Linked DNA regions of Ovis aries. The protein of the gene in region 2 interacts with the protein of the main gene of each other region in a biochemical or structural test. Links are inferred from orthologs where the notes say so. Each region holds a gene or a part of one and is shown on either strand. Other genes may lie near its edges.

Region 1 (14,868 bases), on a different chromosome or scaffold from region 2:
TACCAAATGTTAATTCATATTCTTCTGATAGCCTCCACTTATTTTATTTTAATTCAGCTGCTTCTTCATAGTACAATAGTAAAATACTTACGTTGAACATACTGTGCATAACTGTACAAAAAAAGACTATAACACAACCATAGAAAACCTCTGTTCATACCCTGTCTTCCTCAAATCCTTCCTAATAATCTTAATTCTCCCACCTGACAGTAGTTATTATATATGGCAGTGACAGTATGGATGATTTTCCCTTTGGTTGTCTAATTTTCTTCCTCTTTAAAAAGAAATAAAAATTTTAAAGAATGTTAAAATAAATAATTTTTTAAATGATTTTTTTCTAGATTTTAGAAAAAAAATCAGTTAATCACTAACAATAAAATAATGAAGCTAAAAGTGAGTTTAAAAGGTTATCATTCCAATTTTCTAACTTTAGATATTTAAAAAGGCAATTTGAAGTTTCTACTTGGCAATTTATAAAGCAAGTAAGATTTTAAAATCTAACATATATGTGAAATAGTTATTAAAATAAGAAAAACAAAATCAATTTTGAAATACTATTTACAGTCCCCCCTCCCCAAATATCTAAATTAATTCTGAACTCGAATACCTATTACCATAAAACAAACTGACCAAAATGTACATTTAAACTAGGAACTTGGGGCTGTTTCTACTAGAAAAAATTCTAAAGGTATTCATTAGCTGAAAAAGTTGTTGCCATCTCTCTACCCTTCCTGCAGATTCTGCCATCTAAAATTGTCTCTACCTTGGTGGCTCAGAGGTTAAAGTGTCTGCCTCCAATGCGGGAGACCCGGGTTCAATCCCTGGGTCAGGAAGATCCCCTGGAGAAGGAAATGGCAACCCACTCCAGTATTCTTGCCTGGAGAATCCCATGGATTGAGGAGCCTGGGGGCTGTAGTCCATGGGGTCACAAAGAGTTGGACACGACTGAGTGACTTTACTTACTGAAAGAAAAGTGGAAGTGAAGTTGCTCAGTCCTGTCCCACTCTTTGCAGCCCCATGGACTATAGCCAACCAGGCTCCGCCATCCATGGGATTTTCCAGGCAAGAATACTGGAGGGGGTTACCATTTCCTTCTCTAGAGGATCTTCCCGACCCAGGGATCGAACCTGGGTCTCTCGCATAAGCAGATGCTTTACCGCCCACCATCTACCTTACCAACTGTCAAAACCATTTCTAAGAAAGGCATGCTTGTTTCTCTCCTTGTATTCAGTCCCTTATGCATGTCTCAGTGTAATCATCAGCATTAAAAGATATATTTATCACACACATACATGCACACAAACCTAACTGTGTGGAAACGTGTGCACAAACATACAGAGTCTGAGTCTCTGGGGAGTAAGAGAACTATTGTATTCTACTCCCTACATAAATGAGTTCTTTGAATTTTTAAAAGTAATATTATCTTATAATTGAAAAAATATGAAGAAAAAAAAATAGAATCATGTTTAACTTAATCTTCAAATTAATTATAAAAATCACCATTTATAATATACATATTTACCTTAAGATACATCTATATGCATTCCTTTTATTCAATTTTATAACTGTTCCCCCATTAGAAATATGCTGTTTATAAATCAATTAGAAAAGTTATCTGATAGTATGTTAAGAATAATAGATGCATTAAGTAATATCTAGATTTGAAAGTGTCCTTCACCCAATATTTGAAGAAAAAATTCAAGAAGCAATAATGATATTCAGACTCCAAGTCATCTTAAAAATAAGTGCCTGAATACCAGATGCGATTCTGAAAATACCCAAGGCAGCTACCACATCAAGAAGTACTATGAAATTATGAAAAACTGTGTTAAAAAAAAAGAAGCTGTGTAATTTAAACTTGTATATTAAAAACTCATGCCATTCTTTCAGGAAGATAGAAAGTAGTTTCTCAACTCCTGAAAGGATGCTAATCTTCGCAGTAAAGTGGAGTACATATAACAAGTAGCTTAATTCCATCAAAGCAACTCTGACAACGTATGTATAAAACTCCCATAAAACTGACCAACTGTTTTTCACAAATCTGTCTTTATCTCTTGAAAAAGAAAATTAATGAAAAGTTTTGTGGAATATAATACTAAAAAAAAGAAATTAGCCTAGTATTTACAGTGGATAATGTACTGTCTATCATATCTACCACAAAAAGCTGGCCTGTAAGAAAATTTAATTACATATTTTGAAAAGCCAGCGTTAGAGTCACTCACATATTGTATAAATAATGAAGAGAACAGTGTAAAAAACTGTTTAATAACATCCAAGTGGTCTGGATAAAGAAGATTAAAATCTGTGAAATATTACAGGTAAGAACACTGTTATTCCTTTTTTAACTAACGTTAATCATTAGATTCAAAGTGACAAGTTCCATGAACTGAGCAAAAGACTGATGCACTCACTTACTGTTTTTATACAAATAATAGATATAAATTCTATTTAATAAATATCCTACTTAAAAAAACAATAGAGAAACCCCATGTCTCTGGCTATCAAGAAGTCAGCCTATTTAATGAGGATACACAATCATTATACACACATATATACATAGATATCTTATATCTTTATAGCTTTTATCAACAGGTCTCCAGCTTCCTTTTTCTCTATATATAAAAATTATAAATCAAAGCTATAAAAGTATGGGAAGTCCTCAGTTGAGACCCTACAGGTAAATTTACGGAAGGCAAGGATCATGTGTGATTTATCTTTGTATCTACAGCACAGTCTCTAGCTCATAGCAAACATTTTGCTGAAAGAATCGGCATTCATTCATTCAACAAGCATGTACTTAGCACCTAGTAAGTGTGAGGGCCAGTACTAGGTGATAAGGTAGTAAGTAAACCAACATATAAAATCAGGAAAACTTGTAACAGGTGCTATGAGGGAGATGAACAGGGTGCCATAACAGAGGGAACCTACTTGGAGTGGCTTAGCAAAGGTCTCTGAAACCCTTACCCCTGGGTAAGGTGGTCAGGAGGAAACCTCTTGTAACAAAGTGGTATCAAACCCTAAGCTAAATGAGAAGGAGCCAGCTATTTGAACAGCAGAAAGCTTGATGAGCTATTTGCTAAACTAACACACAGTAATTCACAATTTCTGCACTTTGAAATTTACAATTTTCTTAGTAAACCCTGTCATTTCCCATTTTCCAGCCCTCTCCAATCTAAACATCAAGAGTTGCCAGCACTCATTCACATAAGGTTGTGTGTACTTACTTAGCTATCCCCATACTGAGATTTTTTACAAACATAACACTTTTAAGAAAATCTTCCCAGGAATTCCCTGGCAGTAATGTGGTTAGGACTCCATGCTTCCACTGCCGAGGGCATAAATTCAATCCCTGGTTGGGGAACTAAGATTCCACAAGCCCCACAGCATGGCCAAATAAAGAGAGTATCTTCTACATAATTCAAATAGAGTTATGAGAGAATTAGAGGTAGAAAACTAATCCTTACAGAGGGACTAATATACGGGCCAGGCACTGTTTTTGTATTTTAAAGCAGAAAGTCAAGTAATACCACCATGAAATTAGCAAAGCATTACGCTTAAATTCTGTGTCAGGAGTAGAAATGGGAGAGTTAATGAAATGTGTGGGTTTTTAAGGGCAGCAACATAAATGCCAGAGGTGGAAAGAGAAGAGATCATTAACAAGAAGACATCATCTTAGTAAATTCCTCGCAGTCCACAGTCCAGTACTCAGACACTAAGGTCCAGAAACCTCAAGTCAAACTCAAAAAGTGACTAACTGTAAACAAGAATTATATTTTACTGATTTTCATTATGAAATAGTAATATATTATTATGCTGGCCAGAATTTTAGACTACTGATCATAATCTCACCGGTGCCACTGCATTTTTAATCTCCATGGAGAACACAACCTCCAAATGAATATAAGCCTCACCTCACTGTCACCTCCACATCAATACTTACAATCAGAAGTTAAATGAGTGATTAGACTAGAAGTTGATGACTATGGAATCGGTAAAGGGATACAGATTTTTCAGCCAGGCCACGGTGAGGACTGATCAAACAGTCCTGTCCCTCAAAAGAGATTACCTTTCAGTTACCAGAATTTTCATGAGCCCCAGTTGACACATCTTTCTCCTTTGTACAGCACTGTATAAACAGTGCCAAATTCTGCTTTTCAACTGTTTTTCAATGTTCAATGCTGACCATCCATTCCATTTCTGCTGACATAGCCTTTCTTTAGCTATGTTAATGTCATCTATTTAATTCAATCAAAAAAACTTCCAAAGTGCCTACTACCTGCCGGGCACTATACAAGGTGCTGAGTATCCAAGGCTGGATATGAGCCACATCCTCTTCTATTGAGAAAGACCTCTCTTCCTGACCAATCTATGACCTGGAGATTACTGGTTTTTTAAAAACGTGCCTTCAGCATACATCTAAGTTTACCCATTCTGTGCTGGTATTATTTAATTTACAGAGTTCTGGGAGTACATAACTGTTACCTAAGTATCAACTACAAGAGGTAATCCTGCCTATAGGAAGCAACTGAAGGCCTGAGCAGTTAAGCAGCTTGCCTAAAACCACTAAGTTAATAAGTACTGAAGCCAGAATTCAAATTGTAGGACTTTGTGACTCCAGAAATCAGTCTTTTCCTTTACTCCACACAGTCTCCAAGAAACTAAAAACTCTTAAAAGACAGAAAAACGTAAAGTGCCCCTAGTAAGTACATTTCTTGACATATCCCCCAATTCAATAATTACGTCTGATAAAATAAAGTCAGCAATATTAAGCTATAAACTGGCATAGATAGATCCCCTATTAATAGATTCCCTATTAACTAGGCCCCCAAACTTAAGCCAGAAATAAATTATCTTCATTTTGGAAGGTCAAGGCCCAATTCACTGATATTTAGTACTCAGAAAAGACAAAAAAAAACCCAGATCACTTTTTTACTTGAAAGATATCATCTCAGCAAAAATAAGGCCCCTCTAATATGTAATATATTTCAGTTTTACTTCTACTTTAAGCCTCAATAAAACATACTAACAGTAATTTAAAAACAGATTAGCCAATAAAAATAATGTAAAAAGTACACCATTGGATCATTTCCCAAATCATTTAAAGCTTTAAATCACCTATTTGGTTGACAATATATTTTTCTTTATGTTGAATTATTAAAAAGAAATGCTTCTTAAGGAATCCCATTAACATCTACCTCTGTTGATTATGTTTTTCATCAGTTATAATATAATAGTTCATTATAACTGATGGCAAAGAGTCACCGAGCAAATTACTTAAAACACAAATCCTGATGTACAAATAAGAAAAAGCTGATGGATTGGGAAAGGGAGAACAGGAAATGGATAAGAAATTATTAGGTGGGAGTGCAATGAGCATGTAACCCAGAAACTGCAATTCATCAAACAGGAAGTCCTGAAATCACATGACATACAGGAAAATGAAATTTAAAAATAAATGACAAGGGACAAGGTGTGCACACTCGAAAGAGCCAAAGGGGTAAAAAATGGAAAAGGCTGTAAATGGAGTTATTACACTACGATTTTTTAAAAATAACAAGCAATACATTATACTTAAATAATCTGGTGACAGTAAGGGACTACTTTCACTTTCTTAGTTATGTTTTCCCAGTATTTACTCAACAGAGAATCACACTAACATCTATCCACTGTCAAAAAACGAAACAAAAGAATTTTCTTCTAAAATATATAATGTTTTTACACTGACCAGATTTTTTTCCACAAAGACATGAGAAAAACTCAGTATATTACATTCACAGTTATGAAACACCATCTGAGTTAAGCTGATCTTACCCATTAACGTTGCTAAAAGACACAAGGAGTACATTTCTTTGTCAGCTTGCTCCTGAAGCTCCTTAGATGGCAGCCTGCCGGCGACAGCACTATCTTCTGGTTTCACAGTGTGGGCCGAGTGGGCAGCAGCAGACTGACCCCCTTCGGCTTTACTTTTCAGAATCTCGATTGTGATTCTGTCACCATGCTGTAAAGGAACTGGCTCCTTTTCCATTCCTGCCTGGGGTGGCATTAACTCTTTAGGAGGAAAGCCGTATCGAATACACTGTAAATATGGCGGAATGTTGAATTCTCTGGCTATGCTTTCCTGAAGTTCAAAAAAGGTTGTTGAAGACTTAAGTGTAACCATGGACTGCCGTCCGTCATTAGTTGTGATTCGGATCTTTTTCTCCTTAGAAGTGGTTGGCGAATAGGGAGCCTTGGTAGGGGTGGCAGGTGCAGAGGATGGGCCATCACGAACAGTACTGGGAGAAACAGTCCTGGGCTGCCCCTTCTGTTCTTGTTTTAACTTCTCTGTTTTCCGTTTCTGCATTACAGAAGCCTGTTCCGCAATATTCTGTTGAATAGTTCTTTCAGTTTTACTCATGTTTAACTCCTCCTTGTGCAAAGTTTTTGCTTTCTGTCCAGTAAGAATAATTTTAGTTGGGAGCGGGGACTCCGACTCTTGTCCTTGTACATCTCCAAATCTTTGGGCATGAGCACCATCTATATTTACAGGAGTATAATCATCAGGATTCTTTTTGGCAGTCTGATGCAATATAGTGTGGACAACTTTCTGAACTAAGATTTCACTCCCGAATTCACCTGGAAAGTGCTTGGTAACAAGTTTCATCGCAACGTCATACACATTGCTATTCAAAGATGCATCACTTTCATACTGGAACCAATACACTGTTTCTCGGACCACTCTTCCACCCCATTCCAAAGTAATAGGAAAAGCTTCTGGTAGATTGTCATACTCTTTCCCATCCCAAAAATGTTTGAATCCACAACCACATTTGCCACCAGTGGACCTGGAATTAGTTCTGTCCCCATCCAAATAAACAATAGACCCATCTCCTCTAACTCTTCGCACAGATGTGCCATGGCACCAATTACAAGCTGTAAGGTTACTCAAGCCGTAGTCTGGTACCAGGACATCTCTCACTGAATCATATGAGCAAACCAAATTGTTCAAGGGAAAGCTATAATTTTTGTCAGGCCTCAGCTGTCCATGAGTACTTTTTGCCAAGTTATACAGTTTCCCTCCCGGAGCCAACCACTCTGGAGGAACATGAAGTTCAGAAAGGGCACCACAGAGCAAACATTTGTGAAGGCGATTATCCATTACTGCTTTTTTAGCAGCTGCTGTGACTTCTTCAGGCTGAACTCCTATCACCCCGGTCCTCCTGTAGAAATACTGATGGACATCAGCCACCAAACTAGGATGGATACCGTGCTTGTCCATAAAGACTTCTTCCATAGCAGCAACAAGCCGAAGTAAGTATTTATCCTGCAAACTTCTGTCTCCTCCAATAACGCAACCACCATCCTCCTCAAGTTTGATGTACTTCTTAATGAGGTCCTGAGGCACACCCCATGCTTTAGGAAGCAAATTCATAGGCAGTTTAGGCAAAGCAGCCCCTTTTATGCCTACCAACGGGATATAATGGTTTCTACCAGAGCTACTCCAAGCGATACAGATTGGTTTGTTCAAATGACCATCTCTGCCGGTGCACTTCTCTGCAGGGATGAGCCCTGGCAGAAAGGTGGCTGAATAATCACCAGAGCTTCTCATGCCACTGAGCGAATCTAACAAAATAATAGGGCGATGAAGCACATTGGCGAGGCCAAATATGTGGATGTTCCGCAGACCCAAGGGAACCCCCTCAGGCGGTACAAACAGAGGGTCACACTCGTTGATAATGTCCTCCCACTCAGCAGCATCAATGAAGTCATGGAACAGCGCTTGATACCGGGCCAAGTGCTGCTGGAAGTGCTGTTTAAGATTCTCTCTCAAGGCATGCCAGAAGAGCTCCCGGCCCACTAGGGCCCGGGACACAGCATGCACCAGGCAGTGCCCGTCCCCGTCCACATGCACGGGAATGAGGCATTCCTGACTTTTATTGGCCCGCTTGATGTCCTCGAGGGTGTCATGCAAATACAGGAGGCTTCCGGAGCGGTCCTTGCCGTAGCCCACCGTGTTGACATGCTCCGGTTCGATGAGGAAGGCGCGGTCACCCAGCAAAGCGCAATCGAACAGCTCGCCCTGGTTCATGTCCCGGAGCAACTTAGCCCGGCCAGTCTGTTTGTCCATTCCGTAGCGAGCTAATATGGGCGACAGCAGTTTGCAGTGGTAGTTTGAAAGGCCCATCACCTTTACCAGTTCCGTGTTCTTCTTGGGTGCCCCCGTCACCCCGAGCAGCGCGTTCCGCAGCAGGTTGTGAAGCACTACGTCCGGGTCGGTCACCTCCTCCACCCCCAGCAGCTGTTGCTGCTCGTGCCGCTGTCCGCACTCGGTACACTCGATGCTGACGGAACCGGAGGCCGGGAAGAACAGACGCGCCTGGCACTTCGGATCCGGGCAGCTCCCGGAAAGGATTCTCCGGTCTCTCCGCTTTGAGAGCCCCCCCGGAGTCGCCGCCGCCGCCGCTGCCAGAGACGGCGGAGTCTGCGGAGCCTCTGGGGGAGGCGGCGGCGGCGGCAGCGGAGGCGGCGGCGGCGGCTGAGACATAGCTCTCGGCTCTCGAGTCTCGCTCCGCGTCCCAAGCGACCCTCAAAGGCTCATAGCCCAGACCCCCGCCGGCCCGACTCGGTCTCGTCCAGGCCCAGGGCGAATCACTTTCCTTTCCCTACCAGCTCCTCCTCCTCCTAAGCGAAGGCGGAAGCGCCGGACGTTGTTTCTCTTCTTACTTCTCCACTGCCGTAGCCGTTGCCCCGAACGTAACGGCCACCACCCTACCCCGCACTCACACTCACTCACTCTCGCTCTCTCTCCCTCAGACACACAGACATACACGCCCTCCCTGAGACTGCGCAGGCGCAGCTTTCACTCTGCCCTCTGGGAATTAGAGTCTTTCAGCCTTTCGCCTGGCCGTCAAGTACTAGGAGCTTGGGTCCACAAAGAACTACAAGTACCGTGAGGCAAAGCGGTTCGGTGCCCGGAGAGAGGAGGAAGAGGAAAGTAATAGGAATGGGGGCAGACAGGAAGAGACTCACTCACGTTGTCTTCCGGTAGTTGTAGTTCTAGCTCAATCTCTTTTGTCGTCGTCCCCATTCTAAGGCCCAAGCGAAATGAGTATGAGAGACCACATTTCCTAGGATGCCCTGCGGTGCGACCAAGCTCACTTCCCCCTTAGGCGGAGGGAAGGATGCAGGGAAGCTTGGTTAAAAACAGAGTTAAAGGGAATGGGTGTCGGAAGCAGAGGGTCTGAAGTTCACGACTGCTAGAAGGGGAGGGGAATGAAAGGCTCTCAGTGAAGAAGGTACAGTAAATATATGTCCAGCGACATGGCGGGCTGGGAAGCTGAGTGAAATGGTCTAATCAAGGCTGGAGGTCATGAGAGAAAAAGGCGGAGAATGGTGAATTGATTCTCGGAGTGTTACTTAATTTTTTTTCTGTCACACTCCTTTCTTCTTATTCCCGCCTCTATTACAAGCCGCTGAGGCTATTGAGTCCCCTTTACTGCCTTCCCTCCCCCGCCATTGGGAAGCACAGGCGCCATTTGTTTCCTCGTTCCATGTACGTCTTTGCAGTTTACAGTGCAAATAAAAATACCTTGGATGTGTACAGAATTTAAGTACATATCCAAAGTCTTTTAAGTAGTTTTGTTTGCTCCTTACCCTCAGAGAGTAATAACGGCTATCATTTATTACGTTCTTGGTATATGTTTGTCATAGCATTTACATACACGATAACATTTGATCTTCATAATGTTGCTCCAATACTTGGGCAACCTTGCTAGGAAACACTTCCGAAAAGGAAATGACTTGCTCAAGTTCAGGAGCTCTCAGGCCTTGGTCTGTACCCATTTTACAGACAAGGAACATAGGCAGGAAAGGTTAGGCCAGTCTTGTACAAAATAGTAACTAACTTTTAGTCGCTTATGGTTTATAGTTTACATAACATGATCACACGGATCATCCCACCCACACTCCTGTAACTCCTCTACCAGGTATTGTTGACTCCATTTACAGAAACAGACTAGAAGGAATTAAATTACTTGTCCAAAGTCAAATCACCAGGATCTCTCAGATCCAGAGAGTGCTTTTTTTTTTTTTTTAACTTTATTTTACTTTACAATACTGTATTGGTTTTGCCATACATCGACATGAATCCGCCACGGGTGTACACGAGTTCCCAATCCTGAAGCCCCCTCCACTTCTTACAAGAGAAAAAAGAAACTTTTAACCCCAGACCTTTTGTTAGGCCTCAGGCTCTGCTCTTAGTGACTCAAGGGGCTGTAAGGATGTTTACTGTGTGCTAGGAAACTGTCTCCTCATGCAAAACACATTCATATATTAATTGAAAGCTAGTATTTTTTTGAATATTGTACAGTCAGCCCCTTTCTCTTATCGTTCTGGAAACTCTTGCTTTCTGAAACCTTAGATAAGTGCACCACCTCAAAACTTCTGAAACATTTGGCACAAAATAGATACATCAATACAGTCCATGACCCCATTCCCATTTTCTGTAGCTGCCAAGGCTATATTTACCACATTAGGTTTTTCTGAATAAATAAAATTTGATGCTCTGAAATGAATTGTCTATAAACTAGACATTCCTAAAAGGTATTAGTACTGACTTTCACTAATTATCTACAATTTTCTTCTAAAGAAATGCATTTTAGGAATCCTTTAAATGTTAATTATTTTCTTGCTCAATTCTACCTGGCCTGTGCAAAAATAATGGTATCTGTGTATAAGAGAAATAATGTTACTTAACTTGAAGGGAATAATCTTCAATAAAGTTTTTCATAATTGATTAATGCAGGAAACTATTTTAACAGTATTTGGTGGTACACTACACAAAAGGTCTTGGAACTGATTTTTAGTTCTAAGGTGAGAAACTAGATATGCCTTTTAAATGCAAATTATTTTATACCTTGACAGAGAAGTTACACCTGTGGTGAAATTATATTTTTCTTATGATCAATGGTGAAGCTCCAATACTTGGGCCACCTGATGCAAAGAGCCAGCTCATTAGAAAATACCCTGATGCCAGGAAAGATTGAGGGCAAGAGGAAAAGGGGACAACAGAGGATGAGATGGTTGGATATCATCACTGACTCAATGGATGTGAGTTTGAGCAAACTTCAGGAGATACTGGAGGCCAGGGAAGCCTGGCCTGCTGCAGTTCATGGGGTCACAAGGAGTCAGACATGACTTAGCAACTGAACAGCAACAACGTGATGAAAGCTTAGGTGAACAAGAAAGATAATGCCAGTGTGCAGTTCTAACATTGTCGTGTACTTTCATGTCAGCATCACCAAGTCACATTTTCCTTGTTGATGATATGAACAGTGAAATGAAAGTTTTAAAAATTGCATCTGAATATTTCATTCTAATTTGTGCCTTCACAAAATAACTACTTCTTTCCTACTGAAGACTGGCTTGTCAATCATAATCCATTTGACTGGTCCAGAGTTTCTTTATCCATATGGAACCTAGATTAGTTAGAAACAAACTTCCAAAACTAAATTTGATATCTAAACCCATTTGTTACCGTAGTTGTCCTACATTTAAGGGTTATAATTTTGAAAGAAAAAAATAGAAATACCCTGGATTAAAGCATAGTTAATGGGAGGGAGAGGAGGTAAATTTTCAAACAATTCTAAAATGAGATCATTTAACCTGAAAGTCATTTATTTAATGAATCTATAGATGCAAAGTTCAGAAGGTAAGAAAGCTAACAAATAATATATTAAAATTATTATATGTTTTGTATTAAATTATATTAACCAGGCCAAATCCAATATATGAATTCTTTACAGGCACTTAGGCATGGATACCTATAAAGTAAGATTGTTAAGACAAAACATAAAATCATAGGAGTTCAGAAAGCCCTTAACCTGCTTATATGCAGGCAATACACGTGTGTCCTTCCACGTCCCCTAATGCCATGATCTAAATTATGTAATAACCTGCTTTATAGGATGCATAATAGTTCTTTATTCTTGCCTCAGTATTCCAGATGGGAAAAATGAGCTGGGCACCTAATGTTAGCTGTTCTAATACCCACCTCTTCTACCAACATCATCCCAGCATCACTTATATCTGAATTGTCAAAATTAAAACTGAAACCCTCTTTTTTTTTTCTTTTCATAATTTCTAGTATGGCTCGTCTAAACTTTCTGTATTGCTTTTAACAAACCTGGTAAATGTAAGGAGCAAGAGGCCTCCACTTGACAATGGAACAATCATCATTGTTTGTTCTCTTTTATGTGGAAAAAAGAAGGGAAGCATAACTTTGGGGATGATTAGAAGTGGGCCTCATGTTTTTGCCTATGAAAGATACATCTCTACTGAGAATTGACTATGTCACTTCAGATACCTACCCTGGACATTGACAAGCTTTCGTTGGGGTGGATGTGAGAGGGACTTAAATTACTGAAGTAGGTATTATAGGAACTTAAACGGAGAAGATTGCAGAAGTTAATCCCTGTCCCAAAGAAACATCCCAAAGAAACTCAAAGTCTAGTAGAATGAATGTTATTGTTTAATTGCTAAGTCGTGTCTAACTCTTTGTTACCCCATGGACTGTAGCCCACCAGGCTCCTCTGTCCATGGGACTTCCCAGGCAAGAATACTGGAGTGGGTTGCCATCTCCTTCTCCAGAGGATCTTCCAGGCCCCAGGATCAAACCACATCTCCTGCAGTAGCAGGTGAATTCTTTACTGCTGAGCCATGGGCTTCCCCAATAGAATGAATTGTTGTTCAGCTGCTAAATCATGTCTGACTCTTTGTAACCCCATGAACTGCAGTACGCCAGGCTTCCCTGCCCTTCACCATCTCCCAGAGTTTGCTCAAGCTTGTCCGTTGAGAATAAGCAGGCTAAACTAAATTGTTCATAAATACAAGCAGAATAAAGAATATAATCAAAATAGTATAACTGATTTACTTTGCTATACAGCAAATTGGCACAATATTGCAAATCAATTATATATTTTTTTTAAATCACAAGTGCTATGAAAAATTTACTGAGGACTTATTATAGGGCAGGCATTTTAAGTATTTTAATCTTTAAAACAGTCCTATGAAGTAAGTAAGGTTGTCTTTATTATACAGATGAGAAGACTTAAAGCTGAGAAGTTAACATTATTTTCGTTATTACCACCCAGCTAGCAGTTAGCAGAGCTGGGCTTCAAATCAAGGTTTTCTTCCTTGTTCAGCACTCAGTCTTTCCACTGCATCATAGCTGCTTAGTGATCTGAGAGAGAATTCGCCAAGACGCAGAGTGCAAACGGTGGCCAGGAGCCAAACTTGGCTTAGATGTGTTTTTGTTCAGCCAGAGGCAGTTTAACTTTGCAAAAAATGTGGACATGTTTGGGCAGTGGCCAGCACTTCACTCTTTAAGGTCATGCACCAGGCCCTCTTGAGACAAATTACCTGCCTGGCTCCAGGAAGCATTTGCATTTTCTATCACTGGGCAGTCACTGAGGATCCGTAGAAGCAGTAGCTCTCAAGAGGCTCACAAAGAAGATATGTCCAAGGGTAGACATTGTACACAAGAGCTGCAGAATATTTGAGGAAGAGTGATTGGCAGAACTTATCACTATGTGAACATGGGAGAGGTCAAACATAGAGCCACACGTTATGCCTTAGCACAGTCATTCTCAAACTTTTAGCGAGCTTCAGAATAGAATATAAAGCTAACATATGAATTGCTGGGCTCTACTCCAAAATGAATACATCTGGGCTGGAACTTGAGAATTTACATTTCTAGCAAGTTCTCTGGTACTGCTGATGGTACTCCAAGATCACACTTGGAAAATCACTGCTTACCTGACTGCAGGGCACTTTGAGGGAAGATTTCAAAGCCAAGATTTTGTGTCTTGGTTTCTATTGTTTTCAGTCCAAAAAGAATCACTTGACATAGAATGTCTAGTAAATAAGTAAAAAAGAAGAAAATTACAGGGAACTCTATGTAATGCATTGTGGGGGACCTGAATGGGAAGGAAGTCCAAAAGGGAGAGGATGAATATGTATATCTGATTCATTTTGCTGTACCGTAGAAACTAACACAACATTGTAAAGCAATTCTGCTCCAATAAAAATTAATATTTAAAGGAAGAAAATTAAGTCTGTTATCAACTAGACTTCTCAGTTGTTAACATTTTTGATGGACTGTTCAAGTCCTTTATTTCTTAAAAAAAAAAAAAAAAAGATGTGGAGAGAGGATATCCTTTTTTTAAGAAGCCAAGATTGTATCGTTCTCAGCCTTATCGTAATAGCTATTAACACTGAGTGTCTACTGTGCGCCAGGCTCTCCACATTTATTTAGCTAATCCTTACAGCGTCCTTATGAGCTAGGTACTGCTGTTATCTTTTTTATATTACAGATGAAGAAACTGAGGCACAGAGAAGTTAAGTAACTTGCTCAATGTCTCATTGCTAATAAGTGCCATGAAAGTAAAAGTGTTAGTCGCTCAGTCATGTCCGACTGTTTGTTACCCCACAGACTAGCCCACCAGGCTCCTCTGTCTTTGGAATTCTCCAGGCAAGAATACTGGAGTGGATAGTCATTCCCTTCTTCAGGAGATCTTTCCAAACTAGGGATCGAACCTGGGTCTCCCACATTGGCAGGTGGATTCTTTACTGTCTGAGCCACCAGGGAAACCCAATAAGTGGCATAATTAAGGTTAAAACCCAAGTAGTCTAGCTCCAGAGTACACTCAGCTGTTGTCCTATACTGACCCTTAGGCTGTTCTGACCATTGTACTATATATACTACCACGCACACAGTTCTTAACTTGCATTCATTCATGTCATGAACAATCTTCATAACGTTAAATATTCTTGTCCAACATTTCAAATGAACACCTCCTTTAAAAAAAATATTTCAAGCTTTCAAAGATG
Region 2 (14,962 bases):
ACTGGACTGGGTAGCCATTCCCTTCTCCAGGGTATCTTCCCAACCCAGGGATCAAACCCAGGTCTCCCGCATTGCAGGTGGATTCTGAGTCACCAGGGAAGCCCAAGGATACTGAAGTGGGTAGCCTATCCCTTCTCCAGTGGATCTTCCTGACCCAGGAACTGAACTGGGGTCTCCTGCATTGCAGGCAGATTCTTTACCAGTTGAGGTACCAGGGAAATCCACTATACCTCTTATGATTTTCCCAATCCTGCAATATCCCAGGAGTTCATGGAACAAAATATCTGTATATGAGTACAGATATGGAAGGTTTTGCAGACATGATATCCTGTAGGGAGAGTGTTGACAGGGGTAGTGACTGCTATCTGCAGGACCTGGAGAAACCCTTATTTAACAAGAAATCATTGCAAACTGCATTAGAGCCTCTAGAGCCCACCAGTCTTTTTTAATTTTTAAAATTTATTTATTATTTTTGGCTGAGCTGGGTCTTAGCTGCTTTGAGCAGGCTTTCTCTAGCTGTGGAAAGCTAGTCTTTGCTGAGGTACCTGGGCTTCTCACTGCAGTGGCTTCTCTGCTTTTGGGCTCTAGAGCCCAGTTGTGGTGCATGGGCTTAGTTGCTTTGAGGCATGTGGGATCTACCTGGATCAGGGATCAAACCCATGTCCCCTACATTGGCAGGTGGCTTCTTCACTAAAGGACCACCAGGGAAGTCCTAGAATTCACCAGTCTTATAGGCAAATTGTGCTTTACCAAACATACCAAAATGGTGTAATTTCTCTAAAACTTAATGGACTAAAAGGGTCCTAAGAAACCACTTTTAAGCTTTCCCTCTGCTTTGATTCAAAGACAAATAGCTGAAGGGTGAAAGAGAAGCCTTACAGGCAGTGATAAGCTTTTTTGGGGGAGAAATTTTGCTAGTTTATATAGTTCCTAACATTAAAAAAAAAATTAAAAACCATTTGTTCACAAAAAGAGTAGAATTGGTAAAAAGTAGATACAATGAACATTTTTGAAAACAAAAGTTTTCCTATGTGAAAAGTTGCTTACCTTTCTCCTAAGGTTTGATATTGTTGGGCAAAGTCAGCAGAGGAAAGTTTACACTGAGGAATGACCTGGATAAACCAGGGATGGATCGACCGGAGCAGCGAGGCCTGCGTACCATCACCGCAGCACTTCTACTTCCTCCCCAAGAGGTGCTGTCTCCCTTACTGGTTGGATGACTGGCTGTTTGGGGGTAACTTCCTGGTAAAATGGAGTGCTTCCTTTTTGGATCCAGCCTGCTTTACTGTAATCTGGAGTAAAGCCTGGGACTTCCCTGGCGGTCCAGTGGTTAAGACTCTGTGCTTCTACTGCATGGGGTGTGAGTTTGATCCCTGGTTGGGTAGTTAAGGTCCCACATTCCTGGATGAAGCCACAAGAAAACCTCCCAAAACCTAACATGGGAAACTTTAAACAGTGTTTTTGTCAGACTACAATTTTCATCAGTGAGTATATGTGCTTACATACGAGCAGACAGTGCCATGCAAATTACATTGAATACTGCAGTTTTGTGAGCAGGGACTGGTCCATAACTTGGGGTCGCCCATGCAGCATGTCTGAGTATCCACTTCACAGGAGAGGCACAGTATTATGACTCAGGCTGTACTCTAAGTTCTGTGGGTAATTCCTCAGTTTTTTTTTTTAAGATTGTCCTGTAGCATGTATATGCCACGTGGTGCTAAATTATCTATCGAACCTCATTCACTTTTTACAGACAGCCCTATACCCAATGAAGCCAATTTTGGAGACAAGGAAGCATAATCTTGGAGACTGTGGTAATCTGCCCAATTTTACACTGCTAATCAGTGAATCATGTAGCCAGAGCACTAGATCATGTCATTCTGATTTCAAAAACCATGCTCTCAATCACTACACTGTGTCAAGGCACAGGACAGAAAGGCAAGGAGAGAAAAAAAGAGAAATGAAAAGAGGTCAGTAAAAATTCAGGGAATATATTTATTTTTGAGACCCTTTAAAAATTCTAGCAAAACCTTTTAAAGTCTCTTTTACAACTAGAGGCTTGAGGACACGAGTTTTTTATTCTTCCTCCACCAAGAGGATGGTGTTAAAATCAGGGTCACCGATGCCTTTAGATGATAGTTCTCCCCTGTAGTGGCTGACATGTATTAATTTATTGGTTGAAATACAGATCTCCTGCTCATTTACAAATTTGAGATCTCTCATTAGAAAGGCATGCAAGTAATCTGCATAAGGTTAGCTACATATGCAAATTTATATTCATTTTCAAATGTTACCTTTTACAGTATCTTATATTAGGGATAATCCAGCTTTTCCCCATTTAATTTGTGACAGCAGGACTGAATTAATAATTAATGATCCTGTTTGTTTTAGAGAGCAAGCAGAAATGAAACCATATACCTTTTTTCTCTTGAGACTTACAGTATTTTGCTACTTTCTTTGCACATTTTTGTAGTTAAATCTTTCATTCAACAAATATTTATCTCATTGTCACATAGAGCCTTCACTCTAGTGAGAGCCAACCATTAAATGAAATACACAAGACATTATAAGGCAAATGGTATAAATGGAAATTGAGCAGAGTAAGGGAGAGTAAAAGAGAGTAAGTGGGGTGCTGTTTACATAGTTCCCAGAGCACTGACCTTTTTGAAAGAGATCTGAGGAGGGACATAGCGTAAGCAAAGTTGGTGCCAAGGGGAAGGCAGTAGAGTAGAGGTCTTGAGACCCAGACATGCTTGGTGTAGCAGAGGAAAGTGGAGGGTTGAGAGGTGGGAGAAGACTGAGCAAGCAAAAAAGTCCTGAATGCGAAACTGGGGATAACGTGGGTGGGAGTGGTTTACACAGGGCCTTGTACACCACGGTAAGATTCAAAGTCCACGGCTTTCATTCTGAGATGGGAAGCCATTAGTGGATTTTAAGATAGGCAAGGAGCCAGCAAGGAGACTAAGGAGTCATTTAGAAAACAGGAGAGAAACATAAGAGAGTGGAATTCCAGCAGGCAAGAAAAGGAGCTTCAAGAGGAAGAGAGTAAGTAATCAGCTATGAGTTATCAAATGCAGCTCACAGGTGAAGTAAGATGAAGACTGCGAAATGAAAAGTGGGTTTGAGAACATGGAGGCTCCTGAGGATCCAGAGCATAAGTTTAAGTGGAGTTTGGGGATCAAGTCTGACTTTCGGGTTCAAGAATGAGTAGCAGACATGCAAGTTTTTCTGTATAGGAGTGGATCAGAGCAATGGGGTAGTATTCGGAGGGAGACACGATCAAGCTTTTTTCCCTGGAGGGCGGTTATTAAAATGTTCATAAGTAGACAAAAATGATCAAGTTGAGTGAGGAAACTCTTACAAGAGGACAATTCCAAGAGTAAAATGGAACTTGATATAAAAGTAGCCATTTTGGACTTGGATAGGAATTTGGACTGTCCATCCAGTTATGGAGGCTAGTAGTGTATTCAGATGGAGGAACATTGCTAGATGCAAGGGTGGGAGTGGGCCGGAGCTGCTACACATTTCTGATTCCTTCTATTTTCTTACAGAAACAAGAAGCAACACAGCAAAGACTCAGGATGTAATGTCAGGTTTGGAAGATGTTAAACAGCTGGGTAGGGTACACAGCTAAGAGAAATTAGCGAGAGGTGAAATTGAGCAGGGCTCAGTGAGGCTCCCTGGCATAGAGGCCTTTCTGTTCCCTATTTCTTGTAGGAGAGACTCCAGCCTCCACGACCTTCCCTGAGCTCCAAAGGGCAGATCAAGGGAGGAGCATACAAGAAACAATCTGAGGCAAGATTAAAGGGACCATCAAGATTAGGAGACCGTCCACCTGAGATGAAGGGCTTCCCAAGTGGTAAAGAACCCACCTGCCAATACAAGGAGATATGAGAGATGTGGGTTCTATCCCTGGGTTGGGAAGATTATCCAGTATTCTTGCTTGGCAAGTCCCATGGACAGAGGAGCCTGGTAGGCTCACATCCTCAACTTGTTACGCTCACATCCTAATCTTATTAGAGACCCCACCTTTAAACCACTGTTATAAAACCCCAACATCAAGTCCTCTGGGGTTGGGACACACAGTTTTTCTAGGCAGAAACCTGGTGTGTTTCCCTTTGCTTGGTGAATAAAGATATTTTCTTCTTCACCCTAAACTGTCTCCAGGATTTGATATGGCACCTGTGCAGAGACTAAGCTTTCAGTAACATAGGGGGTGAGGAATACTGGCAGCTCATTTTCCTCAAGTATACAGTGAATTGAGTAGGGTACACGGGTCAGGTAGGTAAAGTAGAGGAAGAGAGGAGTCATAACAACAGATAATGGAATCAGATTCTCTTACAGAAGTGAAATTTTTTAAAAAATGGGTTTAACGTTTGGATATGTACTTCGGTAAATAGTCGATTCTCATCATCTGAGGCAGCTGTGTCTACAGTCACTGGGAACGCTGAACTGCTCCTGGGGAAATAAACACATGGATGGGGTCCTGAGATACTCTTGACCACATTTTCGTGAACTGATTCAACTGATTTCTGTTTAGACATGTGGTGGTGGCTCCTCTATCCACGGAAATTTCCAGGCAAGAATATTGGAGTGGATGGCCATTTCCTCCTCCAGGGGACCTTCAAGACCCAGGGATTGAACCTGCATCTCCTGCCCTGCCGGTGGATTCTTTATTGCTGAGCCACCAGGGAAGCCTCTGTTTAGACATCTTATCTAATATATTGTTGATTCATCAGAACTGACCTCATCATGGGCAAGAGCACTAATGACATACCTAAATCAACCCGATGTACTACACATTTTTTCCACAAAGAACATCACAGCCGTCTTGTGCATAGGGGTACTAGATAATAGTTCAGCACGGTGTTTGGGGTGGGAGTGGAGGGGCACTTAAAACAGGAAAGTCACCAGCTAAAAGCAACAAAAAATGCTAAAAACATGACTATGTGTGTATCGTGAAAACCACATTTGTTTACACATTAGTATGTGTGTTTACACATTAGTATGATAAATGAAATAGGACTGAGTGTTGCCTTTACCCTCATCAGTGCCTATCAGGCAAGTCACATTCTCTACCATGAATGTCCAGAAATACTATGGATATTGATCTGGGTATTACAAATAAATTTTAGTGAGAAAGCGAACTCACCAATGCAGAATAACCGGTATGGACTGTACACTGCTAAAGCTGTTTCTCTCTGTAGCTCAGCCCAGTTTGCTGTTTTGATCAAAGGGCGTGTAATAGGTTCAGCAGACATCCAATCACTGAACAAGAAATTAGTAATAAATTTTGCTGCCAGCTTTCAAGCTGTTTGTGCATGAGACTTCTGTACTATTTTCTGTGCTGTTCCAACGTGATGTCTTGTTACAAAAGTGTTAAAAATTGCACTTAAAACACTCTCGTTTTTCTTTTTCTTCCATTTCAGTCACTGGCAGTTTTCCTCTTAGTTACTGACAGCATTAGAGGGCACTAAGTAGGCCTCTGCTGGTCCTCCCAAACAGCAAAAATCTGACCTTTTGACAAATAAGGCTACCTGATTAAAATAAATTTTTTCCCATCAGTTGTGATTTCTGGTCCTTTCCTCCCACATCATCCCATCTCTTGATTAGGTTAGCAATAATGTAACCGGTTAGATACCACTTAAATCAATTTTTTGATACTGATTTTTGAAGGGATCTTGTTTCTTCTGATTTGTTTCCTACCTTGCCTTTTTCTTCCATGTAAATGGCTGTATATTTAGTTTACGTTTATTACTATCCTTTGTAGTTAATGCTGCCTTACAAGAAGTTTAGAGCAGAAGAAATAAAACCACCTGAATACATCATCCTCAGGTAAAGGTTGGGCTTCTCATAGTGGTGATAGTGGTAAAGAACCTGCCTGCCAAGGCAGGAAACAGCTTCCATCCCTGGGTCAGAAAGATCCCCTGGAGAAGGGCATGGCAAGCCACTCCAGTATTCTTTCCTGGAGAATCCCATGGACAGAAGAACCTAGCGGGCTACAGTCCATGGGGTGGCAAAGAGTCTGACACAACTAAGTGACCAATACACACACCGCCACAGCTGCCACCCCCCTCCCCCTTTAACTGGGAGGTAAGCTTGGATTTTTTCACTCTTCCAATATTCCTATTCGCCACGGTGTAGTGGCAGAGTCTGACACCACTGAGCGAACAACACACACACACAGATACACTCCTTAACTGGGGGGGTGTACTTGGATTTTCCTCCTCCAAATATGCCCATGTTGCCACTGAGTCTGTAGCAGTCTATAAAATTCAATTTGCAGCAAATTTAGCGCCCCGCCCGCCCTGCCCCCGAGGCCTTTATTTGGGCTTCCCTGGTGGCTCAGTTGGTAAAGAATCCACCTGCGAAGCAGGAGACCTGAGCTCCATCCCTCGGTTAGGAAGATCCCCTGGAAAAGGAAATGACAACCTACTCCAGTATTCGTGTGCCTGGAAAACCCCATGGACAGAGGCGCCTGCTGGGCTACAGTCCATGAGGTCACAAAGAGCCGGACACGACTTAAGGACTAAATCATCACCAACACACACCAACATACACACACACGTAAAGCTTAATTGGGGAGTATACTTGGATATTTTCCCCTCTAAATATGCCACTGTGCCTGTAGCAGTCTATAAAATTCAATTTGCAGCAACTCGTTAGCACTTCCCAGGTCTTATTGGAGCTTCTCTGGTGACTCAATTGGTAAAGAATCCGCCTGCAATTCCAAGTTCAATCCCTGGGTTGGGAAGATCCCCAAGAGAAGGAAATGGCAATTCACTTCTGTATTCTTGCCTGGAAAATCCCATGGACAGAGGGGAGCCTGGTGGGCTACAGTCCAAGGGGTCGCAAAGAGTCGGCTAGGACTCTGCGACTACCACCACCACCACCAGGCCTTAGTTCACCTGCGACAAACTCCAGATGACTGGATCTGAGCGCGGACGAGCTAAAAGAGAAAAAAACGAGAAATAAAGGAGACGGTGGGGAGGGCGCGGCTGGGGTGGAAAGTATGAGTGTCTCCCTACATCAGCAGGCTCATCGGGTGTTTCAAAGCAGCGGCGCTGGCCCTTCCTCCGCGGGTCCTCACCTTGGTCTTCGAAGGCGCACGGGCTTCGGGCACAAAGCACGGTGACCCTGAACACCACCTACCCTTTTCCCGAGCTTCCGGGGATGATTTACTTCTGTGAGGCCGAAGGCCTAGTTCTGGGTCTGCCGCCGGTCTGAGGCGGGAGCGAGGCTCCGGTTCCGAGGAGAGGGCCTCGCGGGAGCTCGGGCCGCCGCGCACGCAACGAGCACCTGGGCTCACCGTCCGCCCGCCGCCCAACCACGGGCTTCCCGGCCGGAGCCCGCAGGGGCGGGGGCGGGGGCGGCGGCCGGCGCGCTCCTCCGCGCGCCCCCCGCCCCCGCGCCGCCGGGCGCACGCGCAGCAGCGCAGCCGCCCTTATTTAGTCCGCGATGGCTCCTCGCACGCCCCACCGGCCTCCTCCCATAGACGCTCCCCGCCCCGCGCGCCCCGGGGCCCCCGGGACCAGCCTCGGGCGGCTCCCCGAGCCCGACTACCCCTAAGCCGGAACGGCGGCGGCCGAAAGGGCGCGTGCGGACCGGTAGCGGCGACCGGAAAGAGCGGACGGGTCGCGAGGAGACGAGCCAGGCCGCGGAGGAAGAGGAGGGCCGCGACGAGCCGAGGTTTGCCGAAGGCGGCGTTCCGGCGCGCGCGAGGGTGGGAGAGGAGGGGCGCGGCGGAAACTGCCGAGGGTTTCCGAAGGCCGCAGCGGCCGAGTTGCCCGGATGTAGTTGGTGGAGCGGCAGCGGCGGCACCAGCGGCGGCGGCGGCGGCAGGAGGAGGAGGCGGCGAAGGACCCAGCGGCGGCGGCGGGGGGAGGAGGGGAGGAGGCGGCGGAGCGGGAGGAGGAGAAGGCGGAGGAGGCAGTCGCGCTGTCCGCGGGGCGAGCAGGACGCGTCGTGTTGCCCCCTCCCCCCCACCCCCCGGTTCGCCGCTGCCCGGCCTGAGCTGAGCGTGAGCGTGGTGCGGACTGAGGAGATGGCCCGGGAGCGCCGGCGCCAGTGACGGGGAGGTGCTGAGCGTCGCCGAGGGCGCGCCGGGCCTGCGCCGCCCGCCGCCTGCGCGCCCGCCCGCCGCCGCCGTCTCCCGCGGCCGCTCCCCCCTCCCCGACACACGCTCACAGGCCGGGCATTGATGGTAATGTATGCGAGGAAACAGCAGAGGCTCAGTGATGGGTAAATCGTCTTTTCGTTTCGAGGCGGCGGAGCGGGCGGCGGGGGGGCGCTCCTCCTCATCTGGGCCGGCCGCGCCGCCATTTTTGTTGTTAACCCTGATCCGGAGCGGCCGGGAGGGGGAGCGGCCGCGCGGGCGGCGGCGGGAGGGGGGGGAGTCGGGGGTGGACGGCCGCGGGCGGCGGCGGCCCCTCGCCGGCGGGAGCCCGTGTGAGTGCGTGTGAGCGGGTGTGAGAGCGAGAGCGTGTGCGCGCGGCGGGAGGGCGGGCTGCCTGGGGCCGGAGCGCCGCTGGGATTCGGAGCGGGGGCCTTTCTGCGGGCCCCGCGCTGGGGGCCCGTTCTCCGGCCTCAGGTGGCCTTTTCTTCTGTTTTCCAGCTGTCACGACCGGCGGGGGGACGCGCAGCCTTACCAGGTACCACGGGGCGGGCGCGGGCTGCGGGGCTGGCGGGGCCGGCGGGGGAGGGAGGAGCCGCTACTCGAGCGCAGGCTTCACAGGTCGCTGCAGGCCCTTCGGGGCCACAGACGCGAAACCCGCTTGGTGGGGCCGGAAACCCTGCGCTCGCTTCCCGGGGCGCTCGCCGGCGAGGGGTGGGGGCTTATTTTGACAGGTGACGGGAGGAAGTTCAAGTTCTTTTTGCGGGGAGGGTGGGGGGAAGGGAATAAAAACTGATTCTTGTCCAGGAAGGACCTGACTCGGTTATTCGGGTGTGCGGGACTCGGTAGGACAACGTGTTCAGTAACTCTGGAATCACCTTCATTTGTTGTTTTGGGGAAACTAAAAGTTAACGCAGAGGTATCAGAATTAGACGGAAGGGCAGGGAAGAAGCCACTGATGGGTTTGCAACTCTTTAAGTGTGTTGTAAACCATTACCCCTTCCCAGTTTGTTTTCGGTGGAAATAATTGTCTTCAGTGAAAGATGGCGCTTTTCTTTTTGTAGAAATTGAGATCTTTGAGTACTTGGGTAATTCACTGTCCTGAAAGGAGTTTTAGGTACATAGTTTTCTTTTTGTGACAGCTTCGTGTAACATTGTAAAAGTTTTTTTGAAAGAGTTGGCCCCTGTTTTCCGGGGGAGGAAAATTCATTAATTTGTAACTGTGGGGTGACTCTAGAAGTAAATACTTACTGCATCTGACCACTTAAAGGATAGGAGAGCGGGTTTCCAAGCTAACGGTTGTGTTTCTGGATAGCATGAGTTAAAGTTCCAGTTAAAAATCTAGGTTCCTTGACGGGTAAAACATTGTGCATTACATTTGGATAGGTCAACGATTAAACTGTTGAATCACACTCTAAAACATGGTTAATTATGCATTAAAAAAGACAGCTATATCATGGTTGTCTTAAATATGTTAAATGTTTTTTGAGGGAGTTCCATTAAGTTCCATTAGGATAGGTCAGAAATAAGAGCCTACATTTCTATACCTTAAAATTGTTTCCCATGCCTGCAAGAGTAGTTAAACTAGATCTGAAATGCCTTACTTACTTGAATCCAAGAATTGGAGAAATTCTGATGAGAATTCTCTGAATTCTGATGCTTTTTTTGGGTCAGATCGAAGAAACATGTTTATGCTTATTTGTATTTGTGTCTAGCATAGTTGCAGAGCAAAAACATTAGAGTAGTACTCAGTGAATACTTAAACTTTTTAACTGGCAGAAAAGTTTGAGGAGTTAATTTGTCAAAGTGTTGATTTCTTGTGTTTACAAGATGATTAATAGAAGGTTTTTTAAAAAAAACACATTTTGATATGTATGATGAGCCTTACAATAACTTGTGTTTAGGTCTTGTGTGAGTAACTTAAAGGCAGAATTCAAAAAGAAAATTTCAATTTTATAAATTTATAAAACTGAATATAGGTAATATAGCAAATTTTATGATAAAACTGACTTATGAAATTAAAGTTTGATTTCTTTTTTATTTTGGGGGGGTGATGTTTTACAGGCACTTAAGTATTCATCGAAGAGTCACCCCAGTAGTGGTGATCACAGACATGAAAAAATGCGAGACGCCGCAGATCCTTCACCACCAAACAAAATGTTGCGGAGATCTGATAGTCCTGAAAACAAATACAGTGACAGCACAGGTCACAGTAAGGCCAAAAATGTGCATATTCACAGAGTTAGAGAGAGGGATGGTGGTGAGTAGCTTTTTCTATTGAAACTTACATTTATTAATAATAATTCTATGTAAGACAAAAAGTTTTAGTCATATTTCCAGTTTGCAAATGTTACTAAATGTTTATGTCATCAGAATATTTTGATTCCTAAACAAATTATGTAGAAATAAGATGCTGACCCCAGAATCTACAGCTGGACCCCAGTGGGTGATAATTAGAGGATGCATTTATGAATGTAGCCTACCAGTGTTTTATTAATGGTGAGTGACATGCAGGACATTTCTCCAAGAAAGGAATTTTCAGCTTTTCAACTTTCCAAGATTGCAGTTTGGCTTGGTTAATTTTGAGATCCTTGTTTCTACTTCATTTTATTTTTTAAGGAGTTCAGGTGTGTGTTCTTGTGGTAAAGTATGAATTTTAAAATTTAGAAGGTTTTTTGAGACAGTTCATGGGTTAAGAAAGTCATTCATGATACAGGAAATTTTTGTTAGGTTTTTCTAAGAAAAATACTATTTCATATTTTCCAGGGTCTTATTAATGTAACTTCTGTATGTACTCAGATACTCACCTTTTAAAAAGTGCATTTCAGTGGTTTTACCCTTCAGCTATTACTTTGCTTCAAGTTTTTTGTGGTAGGAGGCTGAAAATAAATTGTTTTCAGATTTAATGTATCCAAAATTTACCAAAATAATCAGATTTCCTGTCTACATTTGGCATTCATTGAGGGACAAGCCAATTTCACTAAGTCAATTAATCATCTCTATTATTTATAAGATCTTAAATTGCATAATAGATAATGTGTTTGAAATAAGGAAACTCAGAGTCCCTCATGGCTTTCTGTCTCTTGATTTTCAACTATCTTCAAATCTTGCTTCTTCTGGTTCTCTTTTTGCCTCCTAGGATAGAAATCAGCTATATTCAGTGTGATGAGATATTGGAAAACATTGGCCTCCTCTGTATATAATTGGTGGGTTGAGGAAGTTAATAGTGGTGAGAAGATTGCATGGAAAAAAAAAAGATTGGATGGAGATGGAATATTTGGATGGTTATTGAATGGGAGGGGAGTTTAGTTCTCTGTTAAATATAGCATAGCTGTATGCTACTTACACATATAAACATATTTGTTTGGAAATAACAGCAGGTGGATTTGGTTAATAAGTTAGAATTTTGGGGGCAAATTAATATTAATCTTTGGGGTAAGTTTTGTGTAGTGTTATGTTTAGCCTGAGATTCTATTACCAGTCACTACTATAGTGGATTTCATTTCAAATGTTGGATTTTAGAAGGCAGTACTGTGACTAAATAGGATGTGGCACCTCATCTCCTTAAAGAGAATAAGTATCCCAGGTTCTCTTTTAGTGAATATGATTTGGTTAATCTGTCATCTACCCCCAGATCCAGAAAAGGGTCATTTTAGGTACTCTAGGAAACTTCTGTAAATGTTTTCATGCTTTTACAGTGAACTGTGTCTGATTAAGTTCTTTTACAGGTGAAATACTCGCAAGAACATTCTGTTGCTTAATGCTTAAATATTGAGCAAACATTGGGCGTCTACTGTGTGTCAGCAGTTGTGTGGTGTGCCTGGAAGTAATGCTGAGATGTAGTCCTGTCCTTGAAGCTGTTACTAAAAGCTCTGACTTTGGAGAGCTACTTGTTTTTAGCTGCTTGCTTTTTTTTTCTGTACTCTTTTTTTTTTTTTTTTCCCCCTTCATTTTGATTTTCATTTTCCTTCCTCTTGTTGGCTTTTAGTTTCTTTTTTATTTGCATCTGTTTGCTGATGTTTCTTTAGTTCCATTTGTAAGAAACTTATCTTTCTGATCTAGTCATTTGCTAAATTAATCCCCTTTTCTGATTTGCTTTTTAGCTATTTGCTTGTCTTCCTCTGGAGCCTTTTAACTAATACTAACTTCATCCCTGGTCTAACTTCATTCCTGGTCTGTATTATCTCTCATATACTTGGCTGCCATATTACTTTACACCATGGAGGAATAATAACAAATACTGTAAAATGCGGTCTGTATTCTTGAGTGCAGAGAGCATCTTTGATGTTAATTCTGTGTTTTAAAGATGTGAAGTGGTGACTCTTCCCTCAGTTAATTCTTAGATATTTAAGTCATTATACTTTGACTCCAGCTGTTTTTTTCTTAACAATGAGAGTTTGAAACTAACATTTTAAAGTGAATATGTGTAATTTCATTATAGATGTTTGTATTCCTTGATATTTTTATCTTTATAAATTCAATTGTATATGTAGATAGATTTTCACATAAAGATAAAAACTATTATTCAAAGTCAAATGCAAGTAAGCTGGATTCTCTGAGTACTCAGCCTGTGTGAGTAACAATATAAGAACAGGTTACTATATTATTGAACTAATATAAAATTGATTTTTATTTTAGGATTTTAAAATCTAATTTTAATAAATGCCTAACTCAAGCGTCTACATACCCCCTACCCTACCCCACACTGCCCCACCGGGCTTTACTGGCATCTGTCCACATCACAGTTGTTTTTTTTGTTCTTCTTGTCACCTTAGATTTCCTTAAAGTGTCAATTTAGAGTAATATATAAAAAGACTTTAAGACATACTAATACTGAAAGAAATCAGAAAGTAGGGATTGAGGATTGTCACTCCCTGCAGAAGATTGAAGTCTGCAGTTTAAAAGGATTTATTCCAACTAAGTTTGTACAGTTAAAGGAATTAGAGATTTTTATCCCATAGGATTTATGAAAGGGAGTTTAGATTATTTATTGTAACTAAGGGAAATGTTGTGACATAACATTACCTAAAAGTTCATTACTTGGTGGAAAATTATTTTTACATATATTGTGATCAACTTGCAAAATATAATCTTTTGTTTAAAAATAACCAAAAGCAGGAATCTAAGGTACAGTCGTTTGATTTTTTTTTTTTTTTATAGCTTAGGTTGAAATTGTACTTAATGGAATTTTTAAGCTTTTTCCATTTCATTAAAGTATGTTTTTGTTGACTAGTTCTAATGATAATTTTACCAAGTAACTTTCAGGATGATGCTGGTACCAGTGAGTTTAGGAATGAAGGGTAGCTTTATAGGAATTATGTAAATCTGTTGCACAAAAGTTCAGCCTCATGGGGGTTGTCCCATTTTTCTTATCTTCCCTCTAAGAATTAACTGTTAGAAACATCTTTTAGGGGGAGATAGCTTAGTTCAGTTGGTTAATCAAAATCGAAAAAAAATTATTCTTTACTGGTTCCCTGAATTGTGGGAATTAAGTGAATTTCTATAGCTTTTAAAGTTAGTATTCAAATATTTTTGAGTACAAAGGGAAAATTGCCTTAGTGCTTACATTTCTAAATTCTTTCTTTAAAGTTTTTCACTGCATAATGAAAGTATCCCCCCCCCCCTCCTTTTTTTGGGTCGTTTACCCATATTTGGAGAAATTGGGAAATTTAATCCAATTTTCAAATGACAGTTACTGTAACATTTGAAGGAATTGTTATTCAGTAGAAAGTATTTGGGGATAACTTGTTTTTATAGTTTTTAAAATAATTTAGTAATATTTTAGTATTCTCACATTAAATAGACTGATAATTGCATAGTATGACTTTTGTGGTTCTTTGAATAACTTTACACTGGGATAAAATGAAATATGCTTTGCATTTGTAATGTTAGAAAGTACTATAAAATTGAACAGTCTCATTTGATCCTTGCATTGACCTTGGAAGGTAGGTAGAACAGATAGTATCCCTGTTTTATAGTTTATGGATGAGGGAATATTTACTTGTGTGAAAGGAACCAATAGTAAGATTGGTCTAGAAACGGGTTTCCCAGATGGCACTAGTGGCAAAGACCCTGCCTGCCAGTGCAGGAGACATGAGAGACATGGGTTTGATCCCTGGGTTGGGAAGATCCCCTTGAGGAGGGCATGGCAAGCCATTCTTGGTATTCTTAAAGAGGTGGTTATTATGATATAATGGATTTCAGTTCACAGTCAAAACTATTTTGGTATGGTTTACTTTAAGATCTTAAATTTTAAGAAAGAAAGTAAGTGAAGTTGCTCAGTTGTGTCCACCTCTTTGCCACCCCATGGACTGTAGCCTGCTAGGCTCCTCCGTCCTTGCGATTTTCCAGGCAAGAAGACTGGAGTGGATTGCCTAAGGCAGTATTAATTGAACTGATTGAGTTATGCAAGATGTATTTAAAGTTCTTGGTGAACATGCTTAGGATTTGGGGTTCATAATTCACAGAAAATATGTATTCTAGATGGTCTTTCTGTTAAGCCTCTTTTTGTCTTATCCTTTTGTGCAGGATGGTTTGGGTTAAGTTGTTAATCATTTTGTTATGGTGCTGAAAAGAGTGGAGTTAGCAGTGAGCTGGGGGTGTCTTCATACCCCACATATGTACCTGTACTCTTCTTCTGGGACTTTATACTAAGTATTGGAGGAGGAGTTTGTCAGTCATTTCAAAACCAGTTTTTTAGGGCTTGAAAATATATCCTATGAAGAGTCTCCTTTTTATGATTTATTTGATGCATGGTAATTTTGAAAGCCATTTTATATCCGGTCTCACAACCCTTTGAATTAGGCTGATCAGGATTATTCCTGTTTTACGATGAACATATAATCCAAT

Evidence for each region.
Region 1: the proteins of WAC (region 2) and VCPIP1 form a complex in vitro, tested with the Homo sapiens proteins (2 studies listed by BioGRID). The link is inferred for Ovis aries from reciprocal best matches to the Homo sapiens genes WAC and VCPIP1.

Annotation. Positions count from the first base shown.
Region 1 is NC_056062.1:43,848,929-43,863,796, forward strand, and holds the start of VCPIP1 (deubiquitinating protein VCPIP1), read right to left. Parts: upstream 8,768-14,868; 5' UTR 8,525-8,767; coding exon 5,812-8,524; intron 1-5,811. UniProt on the Homo sapiens protein: Deubiquitinating enzyme involved in DNA repair and reassembly of the Golgi apparatus and the endoplasmic reticulum following mitosis. Necessary for VCP-mediated reassembly of Golgi stacks after mitosis.
Region 2 is NC_056066.1:35,539,661-35,554,622, reverse strand, and holds the start of WAC (WW domain-containing adapter protein with coiled-coil), read left to right. Parts: upstream 1-7,780; 5' UTR 7,781-8,200; coding exon 8,201-8,241; intron 8,242-8,326; exon of another isoform or gene 8,327-8,448; intron 8,449-8,614; coding exon 8,615-8,652; intron 8,653-10,160; coding exon 10,161-10,373; intron 10,374-14,962.